Linked DNA regions of Tamandua tetradactyla. The protein of the gene in region 4 binds, or shares a complex with, the protein of the main gene of each other region. Links are inferred from orthologs where the notes say so. Each region holds a gene or a part of one and is shown on either strand. Other genes may lie near its edges.

Region 1 (7,175 bases), on a different chromosome or scaffold from region 4:
ATTATCCAGTACCCAAAAAGATAAATTTCACAATTTCTAGTATCCAGTTAGAAAAAAATAACAGGTATGCATAAAGCAGAAAAATATGACCCATAAAGAGAAGAGAAGTCAATCAATAGAAACAGTCTCAGAAATAGGATAGAATAACATCATAACAGATAATAGAATTAACACAAAGGAGATTAAAATTTTAATTATAATATTGTATTCTAGATGTTCAAGAAGCTAAAAAAAATTGGGAATGTTAAGTAAAAAAGATGGAAGACATAAAAGGAAAAAATGAAATCAAACATCTAGAGATAAAACTACAATGTCTGAGATGAAAAATGCACTGGATGGATTTAAAAGAAGATTATATATTGAAAAAGAAAAAAAATAGTGAACATGAGGATGCAGCATAGGAGCTGTACAAAAGGAAACAGAAGAAAAAAAAAAGATTGGGAAGAAAATGAGACAATGTCTGTGCAAGCCCAAAGACAATGGAACAGCATCTTTAAGGCAGTGAAAGAAAGAATAATGTTGTGGGGCATTGAATCATGTTCCTCACAAAAGGCAAGCACATGTCCCAATCCCTGGTCTTGTGGGTGTGAACCCCTTTTGTAAATAGGAATTTTGAAAATGTTCTTGGTTAAGTTGTAGTGAATCAGGATGAGCCTCAATCCAATATGGCTCACATCCATTTAAGCAAAGGAAATTGCACACAGAAAAAGAAGCCACGGAAGCAGGCTGAAATTGGAAATCAATGGAGCCTGTAAGAGAAAGGAGAAGATGTGGCTATGTGCATTGCCATGTGATAGAAAAGCCAAAGATCCTCAAGGACTGCTGGCCAGCTGGAAGATACCAACTCCAGAAGGAAATAAGCCTTCCAGTTTCTAGAACTGTAAGCCAACACATTGTATGGTATTTGTTTTAGCAGCCAGAAAACGAATACACCTTTCAATCTAGAATTCTATACCCATCTATACCCAAAGATATCGTTCAAAAACTAAGGTTAAATAAAGACTGTTTCAGATAAAGGTGAAGTAATTCATTACCATCTTGACTACAAGAAATGCTACAGGAAATTCTTTAGGCAAAAGGGAAAATAATTACAGATGAAAATCTTGAGCTACAGAAAAGAACAAAAACAATGAAATGGTAAATATAGGTAGGTAAATATAAAGATCTCTTTTCTATTTTTAAAATCTTTTTTTAGAGATAATTGATTATCTAAAGCAAAAACAATGGCAATCCATTGAGGAATTTTATTTTGAACTTCCCGCCTCCCCAGGAGGGGGAATATGGGATAGTACTGTTATAAAGTCCTTAAACTATGCATGAGGAGGTATAAAATTACTTGACTCCAGATTTGGATAAGATAAAGATGTATACAATAAACCCTAAGGCAACTACTTTAAGAAAGAGGGATAGAGAAAGAGATACATGTAAAAAATAGGCCCAGAAAATAAATAAAATAGAATCATAAAAAATACTTAATTGATCCAAAAGAAGATTTAAATGGTGATAAAAAGTAACTAAGTACAGATGGCTCAAATAGAAAGCAAATAGCAAGCTTATATATTTAAATTCAAATTTATCAACAATCGCATTAAATGTAAATTATCTAAATTGGATAATTTTATCCTAATTGAATAAAAAGACCCAATTACATGCTGACTATAAGAAACCTACTTTAATTACAAAGACACGAATAGGTTAAATATAAAAGAACAAAAAGATATACTATAGCAGCGCTAATCAAAGAAAACTCAAGTGGCTGCATTAATAGCAGAGAAAGCAGATTTAGAACAAAGAATATTACCATAGATAAAGGAATAAATGCATAATGATAAAGATGTTAAGAGGAAATATTCTAAATATTTACGCATCTAATAACAGAGCTTCAAAATACATGAAACAAAAATGAACTGTGAAGAAAAATAGGCAAATACATGATTTAATTAGAGATTTTAGCATCCCTCTTTCAATCATTGATGAAACAAGTAAATAGAAAATCAGTAAGGATTTTAAAGATTTGAACAACACTATCAGCCAACTTGACCTAATTGACATTTATATTACACTCTATTCAATAACTGCAGAATTCATATTATTTTCAAATGCACACAAAACCTTTAATAAGATAGATCATGCTTCTGGGCAATATAACAAGTCTTGATGTATCTAAAATAAATCAAATCATACAAAATATTTTCTCTGACCATGATGGAAATAAATTAGAAATAATAAAAAGATATCTAAAAAATCCACAAGTACTTGGAACTAAATACCCATTGGGGGAAAGAAGTTATCAAAAGAAAAATTAGACTATATTTTGAACTGAATGAAAAATTGTGGGATGCACATAAGCCAGAAGTTTTAGGGAACCTTCAATTCTAAAGTCCTCTGTTAGAAAAGGAGAAAGGTCCCAAATGAAAGGACTCAGTTACCACCTTAGAAATCAGAAAAAAAAGAAAGCAAGCAAAGTAGGCCTAAAGTAAGCAGTCATCTACCAAATTTTAGGAAACAAATATTACCAATTCTATATAATCTCCTATAGAAAATTGAAGACGAAGAAATACTTCCCAATTCATTCTATGAGTTCAGCCCATACCAGACAAAGACACTATAAGGAAACTTCAGTTCAATATTGCTTATAAAAATAGATGTAAAAATTCTCTTAAAATATTAGTAAATCAAGTCTAACAATATATGTAAAGGATATAATACATCATGACAAGTGGGATTTGCCCCAGGAAAGCTCAAGAATTTTTACATCTATTTTACATCATACAGCTGGTAAGAGATAGAGCCAGGTAGTCTAAGAACAATGTCTGCATTTGTCTTATTCAACATGATATCCTCAGTGCCTAGGAAGGTGCCTAGTAGACATTATACATGTAATAAGCATTTACTAAATACATTGTAATAGAACAAATGACAATGTAAATAACAGATAAGCACCTGAGTGCAGGGCATAAGGGAGGTTGTATGGGGAAAGGAAGTCTTAGTGGAAGTGGCTGTGTCTTCAGTAGGGATGTGGAGGATGGGTTCAACTTGAGGGTATACACACTTTAGAGAATCAGAGGAGATGTAGAAGAGCATTCCAGGCAAGAAAAACAATGAATGAAAACCTTGTAGCAGGAATAACCATGGTTTTGGGAGGGGTGACGCTTTATGGGGTGATGAGAAACGAGGTTAGATGGGTAAGTTAGGGTCAGAGAATACAAGGCTTTAGAAATAGAAAATAGGAGAGAAACCACTGAAAGTTTCTGAATAGAAACTTTTGATGATGAAATTAGTGTTCAAGGAAAAAACAGAATGCAGCAGGTGACATTCATGATGGATTAGGGGAAGAAAATATTATAATTGGATGGAGAGGGTAGGCTGGGAGCAACCGGGAAGTTGTTAAAACTGTCTTGTCATGAAGAACAGAAAACCTGCATGTGAAAGCACCTAATACGATGTCAGCACAGACTAGGGCTTGGGTAAACGTCAGTAGGATCTAAATATTGGGAAAATTAATACTTCATTTAAATTAGGGACTAAAGTTTTTTTTGGCTCATAAAATTTTCAGAAGTGCTCCTAGGAATCTGTAATGCATTATTTGCTTTATAAAGTTACATTTATACATTTATCAGCAATTAGAAATTATTCTGTGATGTACCACAATGCCTTGTTTTCTCCCTCACCATATGTTTCATGCTCTTTATACTTTCCACCATCCTTTACCTTTACTCTCAAGCAGATTTTTAGGGAAGAGTTGAGTCTTGAGTTTTTTAAATTAAATAACTGCTTACCACAAAAAGAAATCTGCCACGCATAGGCACTTTATTGACAATATTTCATCTACACAATCAATTGCCACCTCAGAGATTGGATTCCTTCGTCGCACAGATGAGGAAACTGAGGCTGAGAGAACGCAGGTAAAGCATTCAAGGGTCAGTGCTGCTAATGGTGACGCAGGGACCAGGATTCCAGGCTCCCACTGACTCCTCTACGCGGCGCCAAGGGTTCCAAGCAGATAGGATAAAGCTTGAATCCCGAGGCAGGGTGCAACAGTCAAGAAAAAGGCTCTTGTCAATCTCGGGAGGCCAGAGGATTCGACAACCGGGCATCTGTTTGAGAACCGATAGAAAACACACCGTAAGAGACTCGGGAGCTCCCCGCACAGGGACTTCAACAAATCCCAGCACTTCCGGAGCCCTTCCTGCTCTCGCGATACCATCCGGCCCTAGCCCGGGGGCTCACGGCCAGGTTCCGCCCCCATCACAGCCCCTCTGTCGTCATTTCCTGTGGGGCTGCGGGCAAAGGGAGAAGATGGCGGCACTGGGAGAGCCTGTGCGGCTGGAGAGAGGTGAGTAAGGCCGAACCGCGAAGAGGGGGTTGGACGGAGTGCTGTGTAGCCTGAGGGGCGGAGGGGCGGCCCGGGAGTCCGCCCCGTGCCCCGCGCTGGCGTCGGTGACCGCGGTCGTGGCGGCGCCGGGCCCTAGCGAGGGTGCTCGCGGTATCCTGACTGATACCCAGACTCCGCCTCTGCACGCACGGTTTGTCTCTTGACATAACACTGTCACACACGCCTTGCCGGCGTTCGCAGGCACACGCCACACACGCGCTGCCTGGATGAGCATAGCAGAAGCAGTGTTCAGAGACGAGTAAAGCGGAGAAAGTAAACACACTACCAGCTCGTACAGACACACACACCACTTACAGATTTCGTTATATAGACCTCACGCCCTACCTGTATGTAAGTGCGCACAAACCCAGTGTCCCCGTCTTCACCCACGTATCGCACACTTCCCGGTCACACAGCACATTCCCAGAAAACCCTATAAACTCCATTGTTACTTTAAAGCACATCCTCACTTTTACTTGGGGTGGGTTATTTCCTGGCTTTGTGCCTTCCTAAGTGCTTTTAAAACGATCCTACTTACTTGGTCTTGGGAGGGTGATTACATAACTGGATCACCGTTTCCTAGGTGGAATAGTGGTAGATTGTAAAGTATTTGAAGATGCACTTCTTTTTTACAAACGCTGCAGTTGCTAGCTGTGGTTGGTTGCTTGTTTTTTATAGAAGACTGTCAAGGAAAATAGAAATTTCTCTTCTGAGTAAAGAAAGAATAAAAAGCCTGTGAAAAATACGTGCCTATACCCGTACCGGGATGTTGTTAGAGATTTTCAGCATTCCACTCTTTTCTCCCCAATTTCTTTATTTCACGCAGTTTCAAGCAAGCTTTGATACACCACGTAAGAAGTCTGCTAAGAACCAAGAAGTACAAAATAAACATTTTGAGTACTAGTACTAAACAAAGCCCAGGATGAAGATTGAAATTATCTTGCAGTGATTAATATTTGCAGTTATAGTCAGTATTAAATAGGTCCTATAAGAAGAATACATTTTTAGAATGATTCTAGGAATACCTCTCTCCTCTTCAAGTCACACAAACAAATGAGCATATTGTTAGTTTGTTCCTTATGGTGTTCACCATTTAGAAATTTCTTACAGATGAGTTTGTTTCTCTTCAGCTTACCAAGGCATTAATTAAAGCATGCTTTCTGACAGAGAAGTAGCTACTCTGAGAAGATTTGCTAAATTAAGCTTAAAACGGTAACATCTTCCTCCTGAACATAATGGCATTGTGCTTTGTAGATGAGAACAAATCTGGTGTTAACAGGAGTAGGTGTTTTTTTCCTTTGAAAGCCAGTTGTAGCATTCTAACACATTGGCATTCATTTGTATTTTAAGTACAGCACAAGATAATGTGGAACTTCACTCCTGGCATTTAGTTTTGGTAGCCATGGCTTTGTTTTTGCTGTTTCAGAATTATTTTCCTTGGTACAGCATGCTCAGCACCTTAGTAGGATGAATTACTAATGATAGCCATTTAAACAGGATGAAAGAGTCAGTACATCAACTCTGATTATTTTGAATTCTGTTTCACAGACTTTATTAACAAACACTTTCACCCATCCTGCAGTGTAAAGTTGCTACACATAATCAAGATCCTGAGCGCCTTCTAAAGCATCAGAATGTGATTCTTTGGGACGCATTTGAGCATATATTAGGTACAATTTAGATTCAATAAGAGAATTTAAAGTCTACAGTCTGTTAATTGGAAGTTTTTATATGGGTTATGTCCTATAACTTTGTAAACAAAAATTTGATGAACCAACAGTCCCCATTCTCCAGCCATTCTAGTAGTGGGAAGTCAGCATGGGGAAGGTATGTTTTTGTTTACATTGCATTTGAACAGCATCAGTTTAAGCTTTTATTATTTGAAACTTTCTTCACTAGATTTACTCCTAGTTTTCCAGCTGCAAACACAAAGCCATACTAATTCTATAAAGCAATTTTTCCCATCCTTCAGTGTAACATAAAATTTAGAACTTCTTCGAATAAAGACAGAAGGAGGCAAAGGATAGTAGAAAAATGCTGCATCCACCAGCGGTACAGAAAAAAATCAAAGTAAGCATAGTTGTTAATAGTGTTGTAAAACGTATACAAATCTTATAAAATATTTTAATTCATAAAATATTTGAACACTGGGCGGGCCACGGTGGCTCAACAGGCAAGAATGCTCGCCTGCCATGCCAGAGGACCCGAGTTCGATTCCCGGTGCCTGCCCATGTAAAAAAAAAAAAAATATATATATATATATATATATATATATACATATTTGAACACTTAGCGTTATACTTCCCAATCAGAATTGCCTAACATGCTTAATGTAGTTGTATAAATTTCTGCAATCTCTTATTATTTTATATAATTAATTAGCACCAATTTAATATTTGTGTTTGCTAAATGCCAGGCCCTGTTCTGAGCACTTTATATTTATTATTTGGTTCAGTCAGGTAACTCTTATGATGTGAATTTGTTGTATCTGTTTTATATTTGAGGAAATTGAGACTTCAGGGTGGTTAAAGTAACTTGTCCAGGATCACACAGCTAGATTTAAAACCAGATGACAAAATTAATTGTTTTTATTTTTTTATTCTGTAAACAAAAGTATTTGATCATGCTGGTCTTGATTAAAACATCATGTTAATGATCCTAAGTTGAAAGTGCACCAATCCATTATTTTCATTCATTTACTATTGTTTTAAATGTGTTCCTGTCACTAGCATCAGGTTATTAAGCAGTGCGTATCTTTGTGTGTGTTGTGTTTTTCTTTGGGAAATGAATAGTGATTTCA
Region 2 (7,458 bases), on a different chromosome or scaffold from region 4:
CGCACAATGAGATTCAAAGATCTTTAAATAAGGGATGGTGACAATAAATACTGTACAGGGGTGGGGGCGGAGATGAGGGTCCAAATCTGTGGTTTTAGCCTCGAGACTCCAAAGACCTGCAAGGGGGTGAAGAGAAGGGAGCCAGGCTCAGTGGAGGGATCCTGGGAAGACATGGGAGAGGACCAGGACCCAGATTCCAGAGGCAAGGGCCCAGGGAAGTGGGTTCCAGATCTTGAGATAGGATTAGGCTAGGACCTCCCAGGGGATTTGACCAAGCCTTCACTTGGGTCAAGGGCCAGGAGGCCAGGGAAAAGAAGCCAGGCCTGGGTCAAGGGTCAGGGTGCCAGGGAAGAGAAGCCAGACCTGGGGGTGGCATTCAGGACCCTGGAATCATTGGCCTGGTTTGGGAGTCCAGGGCTATGTGGGGCTGTGGAAGGTCCCAGCGGTGACAAGGCACTCACGAGTAGCTCTGGTGCTGCTGGCGCCGGCGAGCGGAGCGCATCTTCTCGAAGCGGGCCTCCATCTCCTCCAGCACGCGGGGCGTGTAGCGCACCACCAGCTTTACAGAGCCCTGAGCGGCCTTCAGCAGCTCCACCGCCTTCTCGTGCTGCTCACCCTCAACGCTCTGCAGGGTGGTGCACCCACAGCTGGGCCCAGGGCTCATGGCCCTCTGCCTGCCCCCACCCCATAAACGGGAGTAACTGCTTGTGAGCACAGTACCGTCTCAAAATGCCAAGGCCTCCTGTCCCTATGGAGAGTTAACTCTTGGCTCAGTGTCCCCCCCCCCAACCTTTCAGGTTCTCTATGTCAGGTGTTAGGGATGACCCTATATCCCCTCAGTAACTGAACCTCACCTGCAGGCTCATCCTCATTCCCTACTGCCCTCAGTCCTCAGTTCTATCCCTCCTGCCCCTATTTCTTCTCCTTTGTCCCTCCTTGCATGTCCCAGACCTCCATCAAGGCCAAGCCCTTTCTCTTCATTTCAGAAGAGTACAAGACTCACAGCTCCTACCTGCAACAGCCTCAGCCAGGAATACCCTTTTTCACCTTGTTTGCCTGGAAAACTCCTGTTCATCCTTCAAAACCCAACTCAAACATTCCTTCCTCATTCGGATTGGTCTGATGCCACATCTGCTTTCTCACAAGGCTTTGTGCTTCCTCCCTCACAGCACATCATCTGGATCAGGACTATTTCAGTCAGGGTCTATCTGAGAGGCAATCCTTGAGTGTACGAGCTGAGGCCAATTTCTCACAGGGTCTGCAGCACTGCCCAGCCGTGTGGGCAGTCCTCAATCACTTTGTGTTGAATGAATGAATGTTAAAAGCAGGGCTGTGCCACCTTGGACAGACTATGCCTCAGTCACCACTCACCACACCATTTACGGACAGCAGCTGGTCCCCACGCTTGAGGCCTCCGTGACGGTCAGCCACGCCCCCGGGAATGACGCGGGAGATGTAGATGGGGGAGTTCTGCTCCTTGCCACCCATGATGTTGAAGCCCAGGCCTTCGTCTGTCTTGGGCAGCTCCACCACCCTGGGGTGAGCGTGGCCCTCACTGGCCGTGAAGGCGGCCACCGTGGCCTGGGAGAGAGACAGCATCTGGAGTGGATGGCCCCTCTACGGTGGGCATGCGGCCTGGGGTGGGGGATCTGAGTCTGGGAGGCAGATTGCTTTCCCCAGACATGGGGCGTCTGCCACAACTCAACTCCAAATCACCTGGTGATGACCATGTGCCTCCTGCTTTCACTCTAGGTGCTTCTGATTACTTCGGAAAGAAGTCTCGGTTTCGTGTGTATCTTTACCCCCCAACATCTGCCAATCTCACTTTCCATCAGTGGGAAACAAGCAAGGCCTAGAGGGAGCTGAGAGCCTGCAAGGAAGCTACAGGAAACAGTGTCTAACTATATTTCACTACGATTTCACTGTTTAATGACAGTCACTGTTTTCAACGTATAGATTTCTAAGGTTACCTTCTAGTCAGGAGGGCAGTACTGGTTTCCATTTGTAGTTGTCAAGGATGCCTTTGTAGGACTTTTGTTTGAGTAAAAAACATGAGAGTATTTCGAGGAAATCATAAATTTAACGGTAAGGGTGGTACAAAAGATTTGGCAAAAGGGATGGCTGACACGAGAGAGACACTGAGCTGGCCCAGGCAGTTCGTTCAGACCAAGAGGGATGGGGGGCGGGGGCCACCTACCTTCGCGGTGGCGTGGGCCCGGGTCTCGGCGCTGCCTGTGATGTCCAGCGTGTCGTAGAGCTGCTCGTACACCTGGGAGGGGACGCTGCAGCTTCGGGAGCCGCCGGGTCCCTTCTCCCTCGCACTCAGGGGGCCAGGCTCCCACACTCCCTCTTCCCTCCCACCCAGGGGTGCGCCCCGTCCCCGCAACCCGGGGCCCGAGGAAACTACAACTCCCCAAGAGCCCCCGAGCAGAACCGCGAGCGCCACAGGGCGGCCGGGCGCTGCTGGGACGCGTAGTCCCCGGGCTCCGGGCGGCCGGGCGCCGCGCGGCTCTCACCTCCCGGATGGCGGAGCAGAAGCGGCTCTGCAGGACCCGCTGGAGGGCCTGCAGCTTCTGCGGGGGCAGCTCCCCGCTGCGCTGGAGCCGCTCGAGGAGCTCCACCGCCCGGGACACGTCTGCGAGGCGGGGCAGGGGCGCAGCGAGGCGGCGGGAGAGGAGCAAGGGCGAGCGCAGCCGGACGCCCGCAAGGACAGAACAGAGCCGGTGGGCGCCGCGGTCAGTCGGGCGCCCCGCATTCCCCGGAAGGGCCCCCTCCCGCAGCCACTGTGCGGGGGCGTGCGGCCGGTGCCCCCCGCTGCGACCCGCGGACCCTCCCACGCCCACAGACCGCCCGGCCCGTCAGGCCCCGCCGGCTCCCCGCGTCCCCCGCGCAGCCCTGGCCGCGGGAGGGGTAGGCACGCGGGACCGGGGCCGGGGCGGGCAGGGCTCCCGGGGTGCGCTTACCCCGCTCCAGCCCCAGCGGCTCCACGAGCGCAGCCATGGCACTGCCGCCGCCGCCGCCGCCGCCGCCAGCCGCCCCCAGCCGCCCCCCTGCCCCCGCGCCGGCGAGGGGGGCGGGGCTGCGCGAGGCCCCGCCCCGCGAGACGGGCGCCCCCTGCCGAGACGCGGCCCCGCAGTGCCGGGGTCCCGACCTGCCCGTCTGCGCGTCGCGCTGCCTTGCCTCCCCCCACCCATCGTTCTGCCCTGTTTGCAGTCACTCCCACAGTAGTCTCTGTTTGTCCGTCCTTGCCACCACACCCGTCTGTCCTCTCCATCTGGTCTTATTTCAGCCTTCATTCGACAAACGTATATTGGACGCGGTGATGAGCAAGGCAGACGAGCCCACTCCATACACGGAACTTCGTGTCTAGCGGGAGAGGCACAACCAACTGCGGCTGTGACGAGAATCGGGAGTGGGGAGGGATGACCGAGGAGAGGAAAGACGCCGGCGCAGAACCTGGAGTAAGAGCGCCCCGAGGTGGGCGTGGCCCCCCTGCCGGAGGAGCGAGCAGCCTGCAGAGCCCTGGAGTTTGAAGGCCTGGAAGAAGGGCCCCCGGGGCTGGGTAGCAGAATAAGGATCGCAGCGATTTAGAATAGCGGTGGCATGTGGGCGTCGAGGAGCTTTTACTTCCTGCGAACCCCGTGATCTTCAAATTTGTATTTGAAGATCACGGGGGCCACTGTGTGGAGAATTGGATGGGAGCAGGATTAGGGAGGAACATGGTGTCCTCTTGCACCAGTGCGGAGGTTTGGAGGAGGATAGATTTGGAAAATATCTGGGTATGATTTAGGACTAACCAAATAGTGGAATAGGGAGTGGGGAGGAGGCCTAGGGCATATGAATATATTATGAAGATGACCTAGCCAAACCCCCCAAATTTCCAACAGTTAAAGTCAGGAAGAGGATAAAGAATGGCCAGAAAGGTGGAAAACCAGGTTGGAGAAACCATAAGAGAGTGTTTAAAAAAAACGAGTAGTCAGTGGTGTCGCATGCCAAAGGTAACTGGAAAATGTTTACTGAATGTAAGACATGGAATCATTGGTTACTTTAGGAAGAACACTCTGCAGGTAGTACTGGGGGAGAAGGCCAGACTGAAAAAAATGGACATAGGAAACGCTGACAAGTCTTGCCCCTCCATATTCTGGTTCAGCTGGATGGGGAAATGGATGGGTTCTCACAAAGTGGGGGAACTACAGCAGGTTTGGTTAACCCTGTCTCCTTCACAGTACTTTTTCTTTTATTTCTTTTTTAAAATTTCTATTACGGTAACACATACAACAAAAATTTTCCCATTTTAACCACTATCGTGTATAATTCAGTGAAATCACATTAACAATATTATGCTACTACCAACACCACCATCTGTTTCAACACTCTGAACTCTGTACTCAACAACCAACAATACCCATTTGCCCACTGCCTAGACTCTGATAACCTGTAATATACTTTGTCTCCATGTAAGTGAAATCACACAAATGTGTCCTTTTGTTTTACTTATTTTAGACAACATGATGTCTTCAAGTTTCATCAGAACTTCATTCCTATTTATGGTTGAGCATAATTCCATTGTATGGATATTCTTACTGGTGGATGCGAGTTGCTTCCACCTTTTGGCTGTTGTGAATAATGCTACAGTGAAGTTTTGTGTACAAATATCTGTTCATGTCCATTTCTAATTCTTTTGGGTATATACCCAGGAATGCAATTGCAGGGTCAAATGGTAACTCTTTATTACCTCTTTGAGGATTCACCAAACTGTTTTCCACAGCAGATTCACCATTTTACATACTCTGTGTCTTCACCGACACTTGTTTTCCTAATAATAGCCATCCTAGTGGGTGTGACGTGGTATGGCATTGTGGTTTTGATTTGCACTTCCCTGATGTCTAATGATGTTGAGTATGTGTATGTCCTCTGAGAAGCACCTGTTCAAGTCCTTTGCCTATTTTTTTTTTTTTTAACATGGGCAGGCACCGGGAATCGAACCCAGGTCCTCTGGCATGGCAGGCAAGCATTCTTGCCTGCTGAGCCACTGTGGCCCGCCCCCCTTGCCTATTTTTTATAGGTTGTTTTGCATTTTTGTTGAGTTTTAATTCTTTATAATTTGGGATATTAAACCCTCATCAGGTACATTCCCAAATATCTTCTCCCATTCTGTAGGTTGTCTTTTCACTTTCTGGATAATGTCCTTTTATGCACAAAACCTTTTACTTTTGATGAAATCCAATGTATCTTATTTTTTTCTTGTGTTGCTCATATTTCTATATCATATCTAAACCTTGAGAAAGGCACAATTAGGAGGTCCGTTTTGGGCAATGTTACAGATTCAATAACCTGCTTCCTAATACTGCCTAATACAAGGACCCGAAGATTTTCCCTGTTTCCTTCTGAGTTTTATGATTTCTTATGTTTAGGTCCTTGATCCATTTTGATTTTCTTGTTGCTGAAATGAGGTAGGTGGTGAAATTCGTTCTTTTGTACCATTTCCTGATTTATCAATTTTAGATGTTATTAAATATATTACATATAGGCTTTCTGTTCTTAGTCTTTTCTCTCTCTTCCCTTGATAGTCTTATGGTACCAATTTTTAATGAAGTCAATAAAATGCTAATATTATTACTGTAAATATTGTTTATCCTAGAGCCCAGGTTAGTGTTCTGTGATTACAGTTATTTTGAACAGCTTCTTGCTTTTTCTTTGGTTTCTATCTACCTTTTTTCCCCTTTTATCACATTCTGTTTCTTTCGAACTCTGTCGTAAGATATTTTACTGAATCCTCTCTTTTTATCCTGCAACTTCAATCTTCTTACCCCAAACTGGACCCAGCTGCTCTCTGGAAATCTCTGGGACTTCTCTTCATTGCCCTGCTGAATAGGATCCAACATCTCCATCCTCGTTTTGATGGAGAATAACCCCCACATCATAAAAAGGCTTTCCTTTTTCATTATTTCCCTTATTTTCAAGAAAGTCTGCCTATTTATTTTTCCTAACACTTTTAGTGTTCGTAACATAGACTGCAGGTTATTGAATCTGTAACATTGCCCGAAACGGACCTCCTAATTGTGCCTTTCTCAATCATCCTGTTATTTAGTTAAACTCTTTGTATTTTTCACTGTTTTCTCCTCTCTGGGCCTCAACCTGGATACTTCACACTCTTCTGTCTCTGGCTTACTAATCTTCTGTTCTGCTATGTATAATCAGTTAATAAATTCATCTACTGAATTAATTTTCTTCAGTTTTAGAATTCCCATGGCTTTTTGGGAGGTGGGTAGATTCCAGATCTGTTAAAATTCTCCATCTTTTCCTTATTTTGTGGTTAAAGTCTCACTAACTCCAACATCTGAAGCATTGCTGGGTCTGTTTCTTCAACTTTTTTTTTTTTTTCCCTCTTTCCATAGTTTCATTCTCTAACATGTCTGGTAATTTGCTAGGCGCTGAGCACTGTGTATTAAAGATCAGAGGCTGTGCCAGGCCAGGGCTCCAGGGTTCCTCTGCCCTTGGACAGTAGTGGGGGTGCAGGCAGCGGGCGTGGAGGTGGTAGGGACAGAGGCCGTGGGGACAAGTCCTGAGGAATTGGCTGCCTGGGCAACTCAGCTGCATTGTTATTGGTAAAATGACGTCGACAAGTGAAACGAAGGGCAGCATGCCAAACACTCCAAAACTCTTGAGTTTTGCATTATTTATTTTTCTCTTTTTTAAAAACACAAGAGCATTGAATCAAAGGGATTCTGAGGTTTTTTTAAAAAAAAAAATATTTTAGTATCTTACATTGCTAATTGTACAAGCTTTATATGGAAGCATAATCCTATGATTTTTTAAAAATGCAACTTTATTGAGATATAGTGTTTCATTTGTAATTCATCCAAAGTACATAATCAGTGGCTTGCATTATCACCACATTGTAACCCCATGATTTTTAAATAAAAATAGCGAAAAGATTTTAAAAAAAGATCAGAGGCTGGGTGGGTAGTATCTTCCTCCAGAGTTTTCTTCTGGTTGTCAGACCACCTCAATCCTGGTAATGTTCAGCCTCGGCTTCCTTAGGCTGGTCCATCTCAGTTGTCCCTTACTCCTAGACTGTGGCACTGGGACACTCAACCAGACACCCCACTTTGGAAGGCCTTGAACACCAATTCGGCTTCCCCAGAACTGCACGGCTGCTCAAATCTCTGCTTAGTTGTTTAGCCTTCCAGTTACTGTTTTCTGGTTTCTTGGAGGTTTTGCAATGAGCATGAGCCATTCAGAAACTGCTGAATGCCTTATGGGAAGACTGCATGTACATCTGGGTACTCGATTCGCTCCTATCTGGGAACTCTGCCTTCAAGTCCCAGCTACCGGATCCGAGTTCTGTGAATTCAGCCTAGGGGAGAACTGACACTTTCTGAGAAGAGTCCAGTACCCAGGGTAGACAGGTGAATGCCTTCCAAGAAAAAGCAAGGGTAAACATGAAGACCACTT
Region 3 (7,204 bases), on a different chromosome or scaffold from region 4:
ATAAAAGGGCATCAAAGCAACCCAGGAGGAGGGATGATGATCTGGAAAAACTGAGTATTAATATTGATCAATCAAATTATTGACTATTAAAGCTGCAGTGTCAGCATCATTGATTCAAACTTGTCATATGGTTTAGAGAGAAACTGAGGCCCAAAGAGGTTAATTGACTTATCCAAAGTGAGTATCAAAGTTATCCAAAGTGAGTATCAAAGTCCCAACTGGGACCCAGATAAGTAACACTGGCTGCCCTTTTTTAAAGACTTTTACTTTGGGGAGGAAAATTTTCAGAACTTCTTCTTTCATTAGTTTAATAATGAGAGTATAATTGATGGTATTTTATAAGAGAAAACATCTTGACTTTTCAGAGATGATGCCAATAACCCATCATTCTTAAATTATACGCTCCAGGAGCTGCTGGAGAGTTTATTCAGGTGCCTCTACATAGCTAGCTAGCCTCCTGAACTACTGTGTGAACCTAATCTCACCTGCGAGGACAGGTAAAGTTTGATTTCCAACAAGAACAAAACTTTAAGAATAGATCTCAGTCTCATTATCACTTCCTCTCAACATCTGTGTGTTACATCTAAGGACTATAGCAAAAGTTAAAAAATGAAATGGTTTTTATTATTATTAATATCATTATTATATTAAAACGCTCAGGTATAACTCTTTCTTGGGTTTTCCCCCCTTATTTCATTTCATTTTGCTTAGGATGTTTAGAGATTATGATTTAGTAATGGTAAAATGTAAGAGCTCATCAAATTGAAACAAAAATGCTTGGGAAGTCAGTAATTTCTAATAGCTCGCCATCTGGCTGGCTTTTACTGTCAGTGCTTGAACCTGCTCAGTGCAAATGATGATATTGCTGGGAGAAATAACGGATTATGCCAGGGATTTCTGAGCTCTTCAACTACTGTTATTAATTTACTAGTTTGCAAATTAACATTTCCCAATATAAAATCAATTGGGAATTTTTGTTTGTTTTCTTTTCTTTCTTTTTTTCAACTCTTACTCCAAGTAAGGTTGCTACAGGCATCACAAAACATCTGTTCAGGCGCCAACAGCGTGAAGTCACCACAATTTCTGCAAATTAAAAATCTCGAACTGCGTTCATAGGGTTTTTTTCTCTGTGCTCACAACAGCGTGCTCTTTGCTTTGTCCCACCGTCCAGTTTAATCCACTAGAAAGAATATTTTTAGAGGCACCTCGGACTAAATCGTGTTTCCTCTGAGCACACCATTACCAAATGGCCGCTCAGGGTCCTAAATCCGGTCGCTGCAGACAGCCACCAGCGGGTGCCCTCAGCTGCAAGCCGCGGAACTCGAGCGCCTTCGTTACTAGCCGTCGGAAGCCAAGGAAAAAAAACCGAACACACACAGGTACTGCCCCGCCTGATGCACTATTGAAACCCGGCAGCAGATTGCAACGGAGGACTCCACTCGTTTGGGGTGGTCCTGCGGAGGAAGCCAACGCGGCTTCCCATTCAAGTCAGCGAGAGCAGGACGCTCGGGGTCGCAGGTCAGAAGTTGAATTTTAACGCACCCTGGGCTCGCTCCCAGCGCCTTCCGCAGCCCGGGCACCGCCTTGGCGCCGGGCTGGGAGGCGAACGAATCTGGCCGCGTGGACGAGGAAGGTCGAGGGAGATTAGAAACTGCTCACTGACTCCGCCGAGGAGCTGCCGGCGGCGGGAGCGGGCGCAACCCTCTCTACCTTTGGGAGCTCGAAGCCGGGGACAGAGGGGCTCGGCTGCCGCGACGCGGCGCTCCCGGCGGGACTCAGCTGTGCGCTCCCCGCATTGCCCTTTCGGCAGAGGGCAGCTCGGCGCCGCCGCAGCCCAGCCGTCGTGCGCCCGGGCACGGGCCATCCCCGGGGTGCGCCGTGCGGCTCCCGGGACGGCCTCCTGGACACTCGCGGCCAGACAGAATAGCACCCTCCACCCCCAGCCCCTGAGGCTCGGGCAAACTTCCTTCCTTCCTCCCGGGCCACGGTCCTCCTTGGCTGGCAGGCGGCACCCTTGCCCGTCTTCTCCGGTCTCTGGCTGCAGGCGCCCTCGGCCGGCACAGCGAGCGTCCTCTCTGCCCCTCTCCAACCCCGAGCCCGGGCGCCTAGTGGTCCCCGCACATCTGCTCCAACAAAGCCCGAGACACGCAGCGCGGCCAGGCGAGGGGCTGGGAATGGTGGCAGGGGCGCCGAAGCCCGGCTAAGGAAACCCCCGGCCGGGCGAGTGAAGTGTTAAGGGGCGGCGGGGACGTGGCAGGCAGAGAAAGGGGAAGAAAGTATCCTGCTCTCGGCGCGAACGCCTTCTTGGCTCGTCCTAGCTCGCTGGAGCGCGTCCCTCAGTCCCGGTGGGAGTTGGCTGGGCCCAGCGGGGGAGGCGGAGGGGACTCGGTGACCCGGCGGCGGGCCGCTCCCTTACCTCTGTCCAGAGTGAGCGGCTGGACCACTGTCAATGTCGCCATGTCTGCCGTGGGAGCCGGAGTGACGCTCGGCTTCAGCATCAGCAGCCGCTTGTAGTGAGAAAAAGAGGAGGAGATTGGAGGCGGGGGTGGAGAGGGAAAACGGAAAGGAGGGGGAGGAGGGGGAAGGAGGGAAGGTGGTGGTGGCGGAGGAGAAGAAAGCTTGGGCGGGTTGTCAGCCAGATGGAGCCGCAACTGTTCCGCGGCGGGCAGACCTTCCGACGCGGCGCCGAGCCGAGCCGGGATCGCAGAGCGCCTGCTTCGCCCGGCTCTGGGGACGGGGGTTCTGCCCCAGAACTTTACTGCTCCCCCGGGAGCGCTGGGTGGGTGTAGCTGGCGTGGCGCTTTCTTTTAACTTTCCGCTCAAATAAAACGTATATGCGGGCCGGGGAAAGAGAAGGGACGGGAAGGGGGTATGGGGGTGGGGGGAGGGGAAATGAGTTTTTTCAGATTAAGAAAAATCGTCAGCAAGTTAATCCTATCTTATTAGAGAGAAAAGGCTTCTTATGTCGGAAACGTTGGTGGTTAAGGATGGCTGCTGTTAATTTCTGTTAAAGTTCTTTTGGAATGTTGACGTATAACAGTGCACAGGATAACGGACTTAAAACCAGGGTTCTAGCTGTAGAAGTCCATTAAAGACCCATGTAAATGACCTAGAAAATAATTTCTCTTAAAAACCAAGTTCTTAAAAATGTCTTTATATCAAATATGAAGGACAGTTTCTATTACTAAGTTAAAAAAAAAATGTGTACCAAAGCTTTTTCGCTTTCATAACCAGTGATTATCACCAATGGCTACTCAGGGTTGCCATTTACTGATTAATTAACAAGTTTGCCAGGAATTTGCCTAAGAGTGTTAGGGGCCATGTGTCATATACTACTTTGAAGGTTCACTACAGTCCCTGCCTTTTGTAGCTTGTGGGAGGTAATTTTATTCAAAGGCTGGCTTTAGAGTCAGTTGATCATAATCGAATTACTAGAACCTCTAAATACTATCTAGCTGTGTCATCCCACTCTGCCAATAAACAGGCTGCTCTCATAATCTTGCCATGGTAGGGACTCTATTTCCTGGTGAAGAAATTAAGAAGCATAGAGAAAACCTCTATAAGAAAGATGATGATGACTGTGGGTTCAAGACAAAGCTTCATCCATTCCCTTTCTTGTGGCAAAGCAGAATTGTTTCAACTAAGAAAAAATTCATAAAGGCAGACAGATTTTGCAACAAAATATGTGCATATAATCTATGCCTCTTCTGATTACATTATGCATGATTTCTGCAGGTCTTTTCCGTTTTATGGTCTGCATTTGCACAACAAGCAATATTTTTCACCAAACCATTGAGAAAGTCAGAGATGATTGACCATACATCTAACAGACCCTAAAGACGCACCTGATGCCTATATTTTCATTTAGTGTTGTAGAAAAAGCTCTGATCATGCAATTGACACCTTAGTACAGTACCCTTCAGAAGTCACTTAATCTTATACTGATCCTCAGTTTGCAGGGATGTCCTTCAATCACACTGAGATTCTGTAATATGAGAGAAATAATTCTATTCACTGAATTGTGTGAAGGCCAGACGAGCTCATGCCCAGGGAGGTGGCTTGAAAAAATAAGTATATACAAATTTATTCATGCCACAAACATTCATTCCCCTGAACTGTATGTCAAACATTGGACGAGGCACTGGGCATGCAAACATTGAAGCATGGCCACATTTCTGAACGTTTGTCAGTTGGGGTTGGAAGACAGAATCGTAAGCCACGAGAACTCCTTGCACCAACTCCTGTAAGCATCATATAAAGGAAGTGCTGTGGGAGGCCAGAGGAGGAAGCAACAAATTCATGGCTGGTTATCATTATCCACATAGCTTAAATCAAACAGCAGAGAAAGAGTTGTACACAATAAAAATGATTTCCAAGGTTTTGCAAAAAGCATCAAACCTTATTCAGTAATGGGTGATGAAAAGCACAAACAAATCCTTTGGCCACTAAAGTAGTTCTTTTAACAAGCTTTATTATAAATACATATTTGAACAGCTTGGTTCAGAAATCTAAAAGCCATAATTTTACCTAGTCCAACACGAATCCCAGATGATAAGGGCCCATGAAGCAGGGATTTTTATTTTATTTTGTTTCTCTTTGTTTCCTGATGTATCTCTAGAACCTAGAACAGATTCTAGCATATAGCAGACCCAATAATAGTTAATCAATGAGCAAAGGGATCTTGACTCCAGCATCAAACATTTAATGCCATGTTTCTGAACTTACGTCTTGAAATTCCTAAATGAAATTTTGACCTCTGGTTCTCTTTCTGTGTTGTCTTTTTAGGATTTTTGGGAGGATTAAAATAGATAGTTAAGAGGAAGTACAAATCACCATATATTCATCAGTTATTATTTCTAACAGTAACAACTTCAATGAATGAAGAATAATTCATTCTCTGTTATATTTTGCTCTTATGAAGTATGAATAACTAACCACTGCCTCTTCAATAATGTTTGTAGATTTCTATTTGAGATATATAAAGGTATAAAATAATTTCTTGAGCCATTTTTGCTTGGGTAGCACAAATATTTTCGGGGCCACTCCTTTATCAACCATAGCGTTTAATCAAGGTCAATATACTTGACCTATTCATATGCAGCGTTGCTTAATTGATTGCATAGTAATCAGTGAACTGTTAAAAAATGCAGTTACACTTTTAGCTATTCAGGTACGCCTTTCATTTGCATACGGTGTTTCATTATATGGTATATAGTTAGTAAGTTCATTGTAACTTTATTTTCAATAGACTGCATTAATTTAGTCAATACTTACTGAATATTTTCCATGCGCCAGGCTTGGTGCTAAGTTGATCTTTCTCTCCCTCTCTTTCCAGCCCAGAAAAGTAAGTATTGCTGTCTCTGAATCTCAGAGAGCTTAAGAAACTTGATTAATAATAGGACGTGGAATCAGGAGCTCCTGTGCTTTCTATTAAGACACACCATAATTCATTCTGTATTATTGAAGGGTTAGTGATTTCAGCCCTAAATTTCAGAGTTCCAGACATATACACATCCTTTTTCCTTTTCCTTTGTGCTTCAGACATACTTGGAGAGAGGAATGTATGGAGAAAAGTTAGGTCCAAGAAGAAAAATATTATAATACTGATTCTACTCTATATAAAAAATAGATTGATATCAAAATGAATACCTACTTTGAAATATAAAATTTTTTCTTATTAGAAAATACATTCAAAGCTATGTTAAGATTTATTTCATTTAAATGAATCCTTTAAAATTATGTGACAAAATCAAGGGAAGCTTTACCTAAAACCAGGAAAATGTGTTTGGTTGGATTATAAGTGGAGTATAATAAGCACAGTCTCTTATGAGAAAATAGCACCTTCAAACTGGAATTCTTTCAGCCTTGAGTGTTAGAAATTATTTTTGACTGACTCAAGATATCACATTTTCTTCTTTAATTCACACAGCTTTGTCAAAATAGCACTAGTTTTTGATGAAGTGTCAACCTATATGTTAGAATATAAATGTTTGTGGGTTTTTGGAAAAAAAGATGATCATATATAAAGCATCTTACTATATTTCATCCTTGAATCTGTTTTGATAGCTGATAATTTGTCTGTTCATTCAACAAAGTTACTGTGTGCCAGGCACCGTTCTAGACACTGGAATATAAAGGTGAACAAGGGAAAAAGTCCCTGTGCTCACTAGGATTACATTCTGGGGTGGGGATGGGGGTAAAAGCAGTCAAAAAACTAGTAAACAAAAAAGGGATTAATTGGTGACCAAGTGCTGTGCTAAGAATTAATAATTTGGTGATTGAGTGGGTTCTAAAATGTCAGGATTCCAAAAGGCAGATAAAGGGTAAAAGATATCCCAGGTATCAGGAGAGTAAAGCCAAGGATGGGAGAGCAGGTTGGTCATGTTTGCCAGCAGTCAACAGCTCAGTTTGGACTATAAGAAAAACAAGTCTAAAGAGGGCCATTTTGAGTCCAGTGGTAGAAGGTAATATAAATAACAAAAATGTAATGAAACTCTTATGAATTACTTGTGCCCATCATACGATAGAATGTATAAAAAGATTTGCACTAAGAAAAAGATTGATTTTGCAGCATCTACATTAAAAAATACTAACATCACAATAAGGAGTTACTAATTTAGAGTTGGATGTTAGGAAATTAAATATGAAATAAATATATAAAAAGTCAATATATTTTACATTTCCTTCAAAATAAATGAAAAAGAACTTTGATGAAGGAGATATGAAATCCGAATAATTATTCCTCTGTTGTAGGGTCTTATTTGCATTTTCTTCATTATTAGTTATCATGAAAATCTTAAGTATAAATAATTTATTTTTTACTCTGATTTGGCCATAAGGCAATAGCATAATATAATTCATGAGTGCAAAGCTCTTCAGGTTTTAAGTCTTCAGATTTTAAGTGTCTTATGTATTCTATTTAATTCATAGAATATAAAATGATTGTTTTATTTCATTTTGAAATTAATGTTTTTCTGTTTTCACATTTGGAAGTTATGTTTAATCTTTCTTCAAAGAAATTTAAATTTAAAACTTGCAACTCTTCTTTTTTCTTTCTACACTCCAATCTCAGGCTCACACCACTGGGAAAGCCTAAGACGTAAAATATGCAAGACAAAATGACTTTCAAAAGTGATATCGGAGTTATATTTTTCTCACATCTGCTCAGGGGTTATTTCCAAATTTTTGGAACCTACAACATTTA
Region 4 (6,912 bases):
ATTTAAAAAAATATGTAGATACAGTATCTCTAAAAGCTGCAAATATTCCACTGTAAAGGCATATCATTCTACATACCAATACCCTTATTACTGAACATTGGGTGAAAATTTCTGATTTTTACCATTATGAGCCTGGGATGAACAAGATAGGTGATGTTTTTGTTCCCCTTTGTCTCTTTCCTCCTCTTCATGGTACCCAGACCTTGCTCTATCCCCAACCAGCCATGTCATCTGGGGACAACTGACCCAGCTCCAGTAGTGAGGGGTGCCTGGTTTAAGCCAGTCTGTGTGACCCACTCCCCTAGCCCTGGAGATTAATTCAGAGAGGGGAATATATCCCACACAGAACCACTAGTGAAAAAGGACTCTATGTTTCCATGACAGGCTTCACTCAAACTTCATTTCAGAGGCAGAAATACTATATGAGGCACGAGAATGTCTTCCAGTGTATCAGATAAACAGTCATAGCACTGAATTCTGGTTGGAATCATTAAAGGGTACAGGGTCTGAGATTCAGGAAAACGATAAAGACAGCCTAACTTGTTCAGAGAACAGAAAGGAAAAGGAGTCCCATCTGTAGCCAGGGCAGAATTCATGTCCAAAGAAAAAATTGGTGAAATAAGAATCAGCATTTCAAAGTGTACATATTAAAGTTTAGGATAAGTCCATTTCATAATGGCATATTTTGTTCATTCATTTAAAATGCGATGACAAACATGACTATACTGTAAATAAGAAGATGCTGGATTACCAAGGGTTAGCAAAACTGAAATCCTTGAGAAAATCTTCGTTACTTGCAGCCTGTTGAGTGTGTGTCCTACATACAACCTCAGCTCACAGGATTTAAACTCAAGGATGAGATGCAAAGAAAGTAATCACTGAAGAACATGAAATCAAAAAAAGTTTTGACTGCTATCAGGAGAGGCGAGTCCAATTTTGGCTGTTCAGAACCATAACAAAGGCTATACTGGTGGACACGGCTCTAATATAAACCCAAGTCACCTGGCACAGTGTCAATAGTATTGTCACCTGATACTGTCACCACAATGGCTGGAAGGTTCCCAGTGTCCACTACATTGCTTTCTGAAACATTAAATAGCAGTTTGCCCCTTGTGATGGGGGTAGGTGGATACAAATGTTTGATGTGGCTTATACGAATACTTTTAATAAAGAAGAAAATTACTAGTAAAGCAGGCCCAGAATAATTATAGATAGAACAGACAGATCAAAGGGAGAGTTAAAACAGGTATGAAAGTCATATGGTTCCACCAGTTCCTAGAATGAGCTGCAGATATGGCTTTGAGTTTCCTACCAGCCAAGGCGCAGAGCACAATATGAACACTTGTGATAATGATCTGCATTGTCCATAAGGAATAGACATAGCTGTGTTTTTCATCAGGGAAAGGGAGGAAGTTTTCCAGATATGACTATTTGGTGGTTAATTAGTTTTTGGAGGTCTCTAATCTGCCATTATAATAATTACTGCTTTCCTTTATATGGCATTTAATACTTTGCAGAGTAATTTCACATACTTTCCTTAATCTGCGCAAAAATCCTGTGATGCAAGAGTGAAGGGGAAGGTATTATTAAAGCAATAATGTACTGCCTCTCATGCATCTAGGAACCTTGTCTAACTGGGGACACAGCACAAAAAGTAGAAAATAAGCAGAAAGATCTCAGAGATGTCAAACCAGATGGCACCAAGTGTATGCATAGAAAAGAACCTCTCAGAATCTACCTCCTCTTATCTAACCTGAATTCTAACCAGGTTAGTTAATTCCCTTCCTAAAACTACAGGAGCTTACAAGTAACAAAACAGGAACTGTTACAGGGAGGCACTCTGAAAGCCCCCAAATCTGTCACTTATGAAAGCAGACACAAGAACTTAAACAAACAATTGCAGATAGTGTAAATTTTGAAAACTCCAAACCCTCGCCAAGTAGGATAAACTGGGACTTGCTCTGAGTCTCTCAGTCCTGGACTCTGACCCTCCAGAAGTCGGTTCATCACTCTGGGATTTTTTCCAGAAATTGTAATGTGATCATGATTGCTTCTCTCAGCCCTCACAGACCTTCAGTGACTTTCTAAGGCAAAAAAGGTAAAATCCTTAATTAAAATGGCCTTCAAGATGCTGTTGCCTGCCTCTCCAGACTCATTTCACACACACTCCTCACTCCAGCCCTACCTGCTTGCTTGCACTCTTTCTTCTCTCTGCCTAGTAGTGTCTCCCTTCTGCCTCTCCTGGGTAATTTGAAATGCCATTTCCTTGGAAAGGCTTACCTGATCTTCGAGTACAGATTAGGTTCCCTAGGACACCCCTAACACCTCAGCATCCAATTGAACACTTGTCAGAGTTGCACTTAATTATGTCCAATAGTTCAGTATTTATCTCCTCCAGTTTTCTGAGAGCCCTGAGAGAACAAGGACCTTGTCTGCCTTGGACATATGTTGAATAAATATTAAAAAACAAATACATACATAGCAAGGACAAGCATGATATATCTCAATATATAATATTTCAGTCTTACTAAAAGTTGATTTTGAGGGGGAAGCTATTGTTTTCTTTATTTAAGAAAAAATGATTCATTATGGATAGAATGAAAAATTCATATGAATTTAAAAGCTAAAACACAAGACTTCCAGAATGCTTCAGGCTACGCCCCCATATTTTTCTGGAAGCATTGTGCTTAACATAATAAATTCTCAGCTATATGGAAACATGGTGTAAAAAAAAAAAGATCCATTTCCAAGGGTTCTGTATAACCAAAGCTTATTTTCATTTTACTGGATGAGAATATGTGTGCGAAAAGCACTTTGCAAACTCTTAAGTGTGTGTGCAAATGTAAGTTGTTATGATTACCGCTGAATTTTTATCCGAAGGGGGGAAATGATGTGGTTCATTTTCACCGCTAATTAGAGGCGGGGCTGGCGCCAGGACCTGGCCTCCTGAGACCTCATCAGCCCACTGCACTTCATTAATGCATAGCACCTGCTACCTGGTTCCTGCTGCAAAGGGCTCCCCCCCTCTCTCCCGAGCCAGAGGCCATAACTGGGGCGGATGCCCTAACCCAGGCTCAAATACACTTTAAGCTCCAATCAACCAGAACTGAGAAGCGGGTAAGAAAACCCACGCCACACATTTCCCGGCAAGATAATACAGAGACTTTCTGCTCTTCCGGACGGGACTCGGCAGCTTCCCACCAGGGCCGCAACCTGGCCAAGCTTCGCTCTGGTCCAAACCCGCGGCTCTCCCCCGTGCGGCGGAAACGGAGAACTGCAGCGCTTTCCAGAGACCCTGTCAATCTTCTTTCCGGAGAAGTGCTGGGAGTATTTAAGAGGCCGGGGAAGCGGGAAAGCTCCGTAGTAACTAAGGAAAGAGAACAACCCTCAGGAGCCGACGCGGTTGCCCGAATTCGTGGTCAGCTCCTACGCACAGAGGTTGGCCAAGACGGCGGATTAGGAAATCGCCGACCCCTTGGGCTTCCGCTGAGAAGGGTGGAGGTCTCCGTTAGTCCCCTCTGGGAGGCAGTCGCGTTTCCCTCTCTCTGTCCGGCCAGTCCGGAGACCGAGAAGTGGCCGGAGAGCGCAGGATCAGGGCGAACGCACTCTAAGGCTCGCTCGCCGGGTCTGGGCGCGAGGAACAGATACAGGGCCGGATGCCCCCCATACCCACCCGAGCCGCGTAGGGAATACGGCCCGCCGAGAACGCGGGTGCCTCGAGCTCGCGCGTTGCGCGCGCAGGCGGGTGGGCGTGGGAGGCAGGGGCGCTACTAGCACGCGGCGTGCGCGCGCGCGCCCTCCCTCGCAGGCCTGCCCAGCCCCGGCCCGGCGCGCGTCACGAGGGGCAAGCCCGCAGGCGGGAGGGCTGGAAGGCGGGTGGAGGGAAGGGGGTGGGGCCGCGGGACCTGAGGGGCCCGAGCGGCGGTTGCGGAGCGGGGTGAGGGCGGCGGTGGTTTAGGCGGCGGCAGCGGCAGCGGTGGCGGCAGCGGCAGCGGCAGAAGATGGTGGCGTTGGAGGTAGGAGCGGCTGGAGCGGAGCTTTATTCCCAGGCTTGGCACAGACGCTGTCATTAGCGCCGTCTGCTCCCGCGGGCCAGCGGATCCAGCTGTCAGGCAAGGTACCACCGCCAGGGAGGGGCGTGTGGGAGGGTGGGGGTGCCCAGCGCTGATGCCGCCGGCGACGGAGCCCGGGTCCCCGTCGAAGGGTGCCCCTGGGCGCGAAAGGGGCTGCGTGGAACAATAGTGCGGATGAAGCAGGGACAGCAGGAGACCTTCTGGGGCAATGCCTTTAGCCATCGAGCTGGCAGAGCGGGGGAAGGGAGCATTGAGGGGAGAGTCGCCTGGTGTCCGAGTAGATGCACGCTGAGATGCCAGGGCTCTGAGGGCAGCTGGCGGGCCTGATGATAGTCATGACCAGACTTGTGCGTGTGTGTGTGTGTGTGTGTGTGTGTGGGAGAGAGAGAGAGAGGGAGGGAGAGAGGTAGGTACAGCAGAGGAGGTGGGGTGAGGGCATTGGACCGGAGGTGTTGGGGATGACATTTCCAGGAACCCCCGCTAGGATCCCTCATCTGTCACTGACTCTCCGGGAGGAGTGCCGTAATAGAAATGGTGAGGTGGGCAAGATGCATTTGGTGTGTGAAGTGTGGAGGGAGGGAGTGAGGAAGGGGCGGGTTTGTAAAATCCTGTGTGTTTGAGTGTGTGTATGTGTGTGCACGTGTGTGATTTCATCTAGGCTTCCCAAACTGCGCCCCAAACCCAGGGATCTGTTGGTCCCCTGACTTGCTCTCACGAGCCCAAACTGTGGTACAGAGTTTGTTATTTTGACCCTGAAACTCAGTACAGTCTCTGTTCTGCTCCTGCGTGTGGATTGCTCCGGTCTCGGCATTCTCGTTTCCCCTTTCTCCCGCCCCTTGACGCGGGGATGTGGAAGTGGGCATGCAGCTGTGGGGCGCATGGCAGGGAAACAAGATCATGGTTACACTCTCTGGGCGTGCTGGTGTCCCCCCTTTTTAAGGGGGCTTCCACCCCGAGACACTTTCTCCTGGTCTTAGCCTATGTTCTGTAGGGGTCTTAGACGCCCTGACTCTGCAGTTTCTATTGTTTATCTCTTGTCTGACCTGAAGGAGGGAGGTCATTAATGGACCCATTCCTCTCCCTGTCCCCACAGTTTTGAATGCCAGTGTCCAACTATACCTTCCCCCTTCACATTTAAACACTGGGGTCCTTGTGGCTGAAGGGTGGGTGGTCTTTGTGATGATTCTTTTAGAAAGAACTCTAGGGGTGGGGGTATGTATAGATAGAGATAAATGGGGGGAGGGAGAGAATATTTTAAAAGAAGAAAATTGTACTGAGACCTGTTTGGCATCCCCTTGGTCAGCATCACACAGCCAGGGTGTTTTCCTGAGGAAAGTGGATACTTTCTTTCTGCTGCTAGTGACATCCACTCTCCTACCTTTCAAAATGGCTAGGTAGGGCTATGTATCATTGGAAACTGAAACCCCCCAGGCCGATGATGATGGTGTCTTGGATGGATGAAGTCCTTGCCTTCCTGCCTGGTGTAGTCCCTTAGTAGGGGATGTGAGAAATGTCAGGCTAGCAATAGGTCACCCAGTGGGAGCCAGGAGACAGAGATGCACCCAGAGTCTATGTCTGTTTAATTGTCTCTGCGTGATAAAGATAGGCTTGTGTGGGGATGGGTAGAGAGAGATAGGAAGGCATATGGTATATCCCCGTGTGTGTCCACTGCGGTTTGACTCCCTGCGCCTCTGTTTCTCCCGCGGTGTTCGTAAGAATTAGTGCACCTTTATGCTTAACATACTGGTACCTCTTTATTAAAATGTTGTATGACTAGATTAACCTGCCTAGAATGTATTCTGGTCATAATATCTTAAATTCTACTGCATTGCTGTCAGAATCCAAACTGGCTGCCCCAGTCCTCTTTGAAAAGCCTGTAGCAGTCATGGCTACACAGGTAAATATATAACACGTTGGCATCAGAGTTCTTTTTCTTGTTTCCTTTGTTTTAAAAAAAACATTTTTTTTTTTGGTAGAGGTTGCATGCTATTATTGTTAAATTGGAAATAATAATAAAACTAGACCTATCCATATATCGCTTTTTTCCTTCCCACTTTTCTTAATTAATGATGATATAGAGACCAGGTGCTCTTGAAGCTGCCATCATGAAGTATTTCCCCGTTTCCCCATGTCCTTCAAGTAAAGCTTTTTAAAATTTTAATGTGAGGTTGTTGGATCTCATCCAAGATTTAGGGATAGCTTTATAGAAATAAATTTTGCATCTTAGTTCTTACTTTCTTATTAGTTCTGCCAAATCTCTTTCTCAGAAAAGTACTTACGGAATTTTAAAACGTTGTAAGAGGTTTTTTTTTTTTTTAATGTCATCTTTATATTTGCAAGTAAAATCCAGAGATGTAAATGTCTTACATGAAAGTTCAACAGTATCAGGAATTTCCAAGGTAATAAACTATGTTTAAAGTAAGAGGAGTTATACAGCAATCCAATTGATGATTCAGATATTAGTAATTTCCTTTCTTATGTAAATGTAATAATTTTTAATATGCAATACCTGGATTTCCTAAAGGTTAGTCTGCTAAGGTTAATGATACAGCTTGAATCCTGTAATTCAGTCTGGTAAACACGTTTACCTTTTGCTGTAGTCCGCAGCAGGCCATTTGTTTTGCAAGTATGCCTTTTTTTCACTTTAAGTAGCATTAATGCGTTTCTCTTCCATTTTGTGTCTCTTAAAGAACTTTGTTTTCTAGAAGACTTGTAAGTAAAAGACATTTGCAAACTGACCTATGTGGGTAAAAGGAATAAACTATGGTAATATAGGAAAATAGGACTTTTATCCTATAAGGAAAAAGTTGTTGTTGCTAAAATTGAGAGAAGTTTAAGC

What was found.
Region 1: APBA1 (region 4) and LIN7C share a complex: the UniProt entries of both Homo sapiens proteins name them as parts of the brain-specific heterotrimeric complex. The link is inferred for Tamandua tetradactyla from reciprocal best matches to the Homo sapiens genes APBA1 and LIN7C.
Region 2: APBA1 (region 4) and LIN7B share a complex: the UniProt entries of both Homo sapiens proteins name them as parts of the brain-specific heterotrimeric complex. The link is inferred for Tamandua tetradactyla from reciprocal best matches to the Homo sapiens genes APBA1 and LIN7B.
Region 3: APBA1 (region 4) and LIN7A share a complex: the UniProt entries of both Homo sapiens proteins name them as parts of the brain-specific heterotrimeric complex. The link is inferred for Tamandua tetradactyla from reciprocal best matches to the Homo sapiens genes APBA1 and LIN7A.

Annotation. Positions count from the first base shown.
Region 1 is NC_135334.1:103,337,939-103,345,113, reverse strand, and holds the start of LIN7C (protein lin-7 homolog C), read left to right. Parts: upstream 1-4,173; 5' UTR 4,174-4,299; coding exon 4,300-4,336; intron 4,337-7,175. UniProt on the Homo sapiens protein: Plays a role in establishing and maintaining the asymmetric distribution of channels and receptors at the plasma membrane of polarized cells.
Region 2 is NC_135342.1:12,006,641-12,014,098, forward strand, and holds LIN7B (protein lin-7 homolog B), read right to left. Parts: upstream 3,024-7,458; 5' UTR 3,001-3,023; coding exon 2,964-3,000; intron 2,636-2,963; coding exon 2,517-2,635; intron 2,270-2,516; coding exon 2,198-2,269; intron 1,582-2,197; coding exon 1,372-1,581; intron 626-1,371; coding exon 462-625; intron 117-461; coding exon 95-116; 3' UTR 8-94; downstream 1-7. UniProt on the Homo sapiens protein: Plays a role in establishing and maintaining the asymmetric distribution of channels and receptors at the plasma membrane of polarized cells.
Region 3 is NC_135333.1:150,094,468-150,101,671, forward strand, and holds the start of LIN7A (protein lin-7 homolog A), read right to left. Parts: upstream 3,012-7,204; 5' UTR 2,499-3,011; coding exon 2,417-2,498; intron 1-2,416. UniProt on the Homo sapiens protein: Plays a role in establishing and maintaining the asymmetric distribution of channels and receptors at the plasma membrane of polarized cells.
Region 4 is NC_135328.1:99,577,311-99,584,222, reverse strand, and holds the start of APBA1 (amyloid-beta A4 precursor protein-binding family A member 1), read left to right. Parts: upstream 1-3,898; 5' UTR 3,899-4,117; intron 4,118-6,912. UniProt on the Homo sapiens protein: Putative function in synaptic vesicle exocytosis by binding to Munc18-1, an essential component of the synaptic vesicle exocytotic machinery. May modulate processing of the amyloid-beta precursor protein (APP) and hence formation of APP-beta.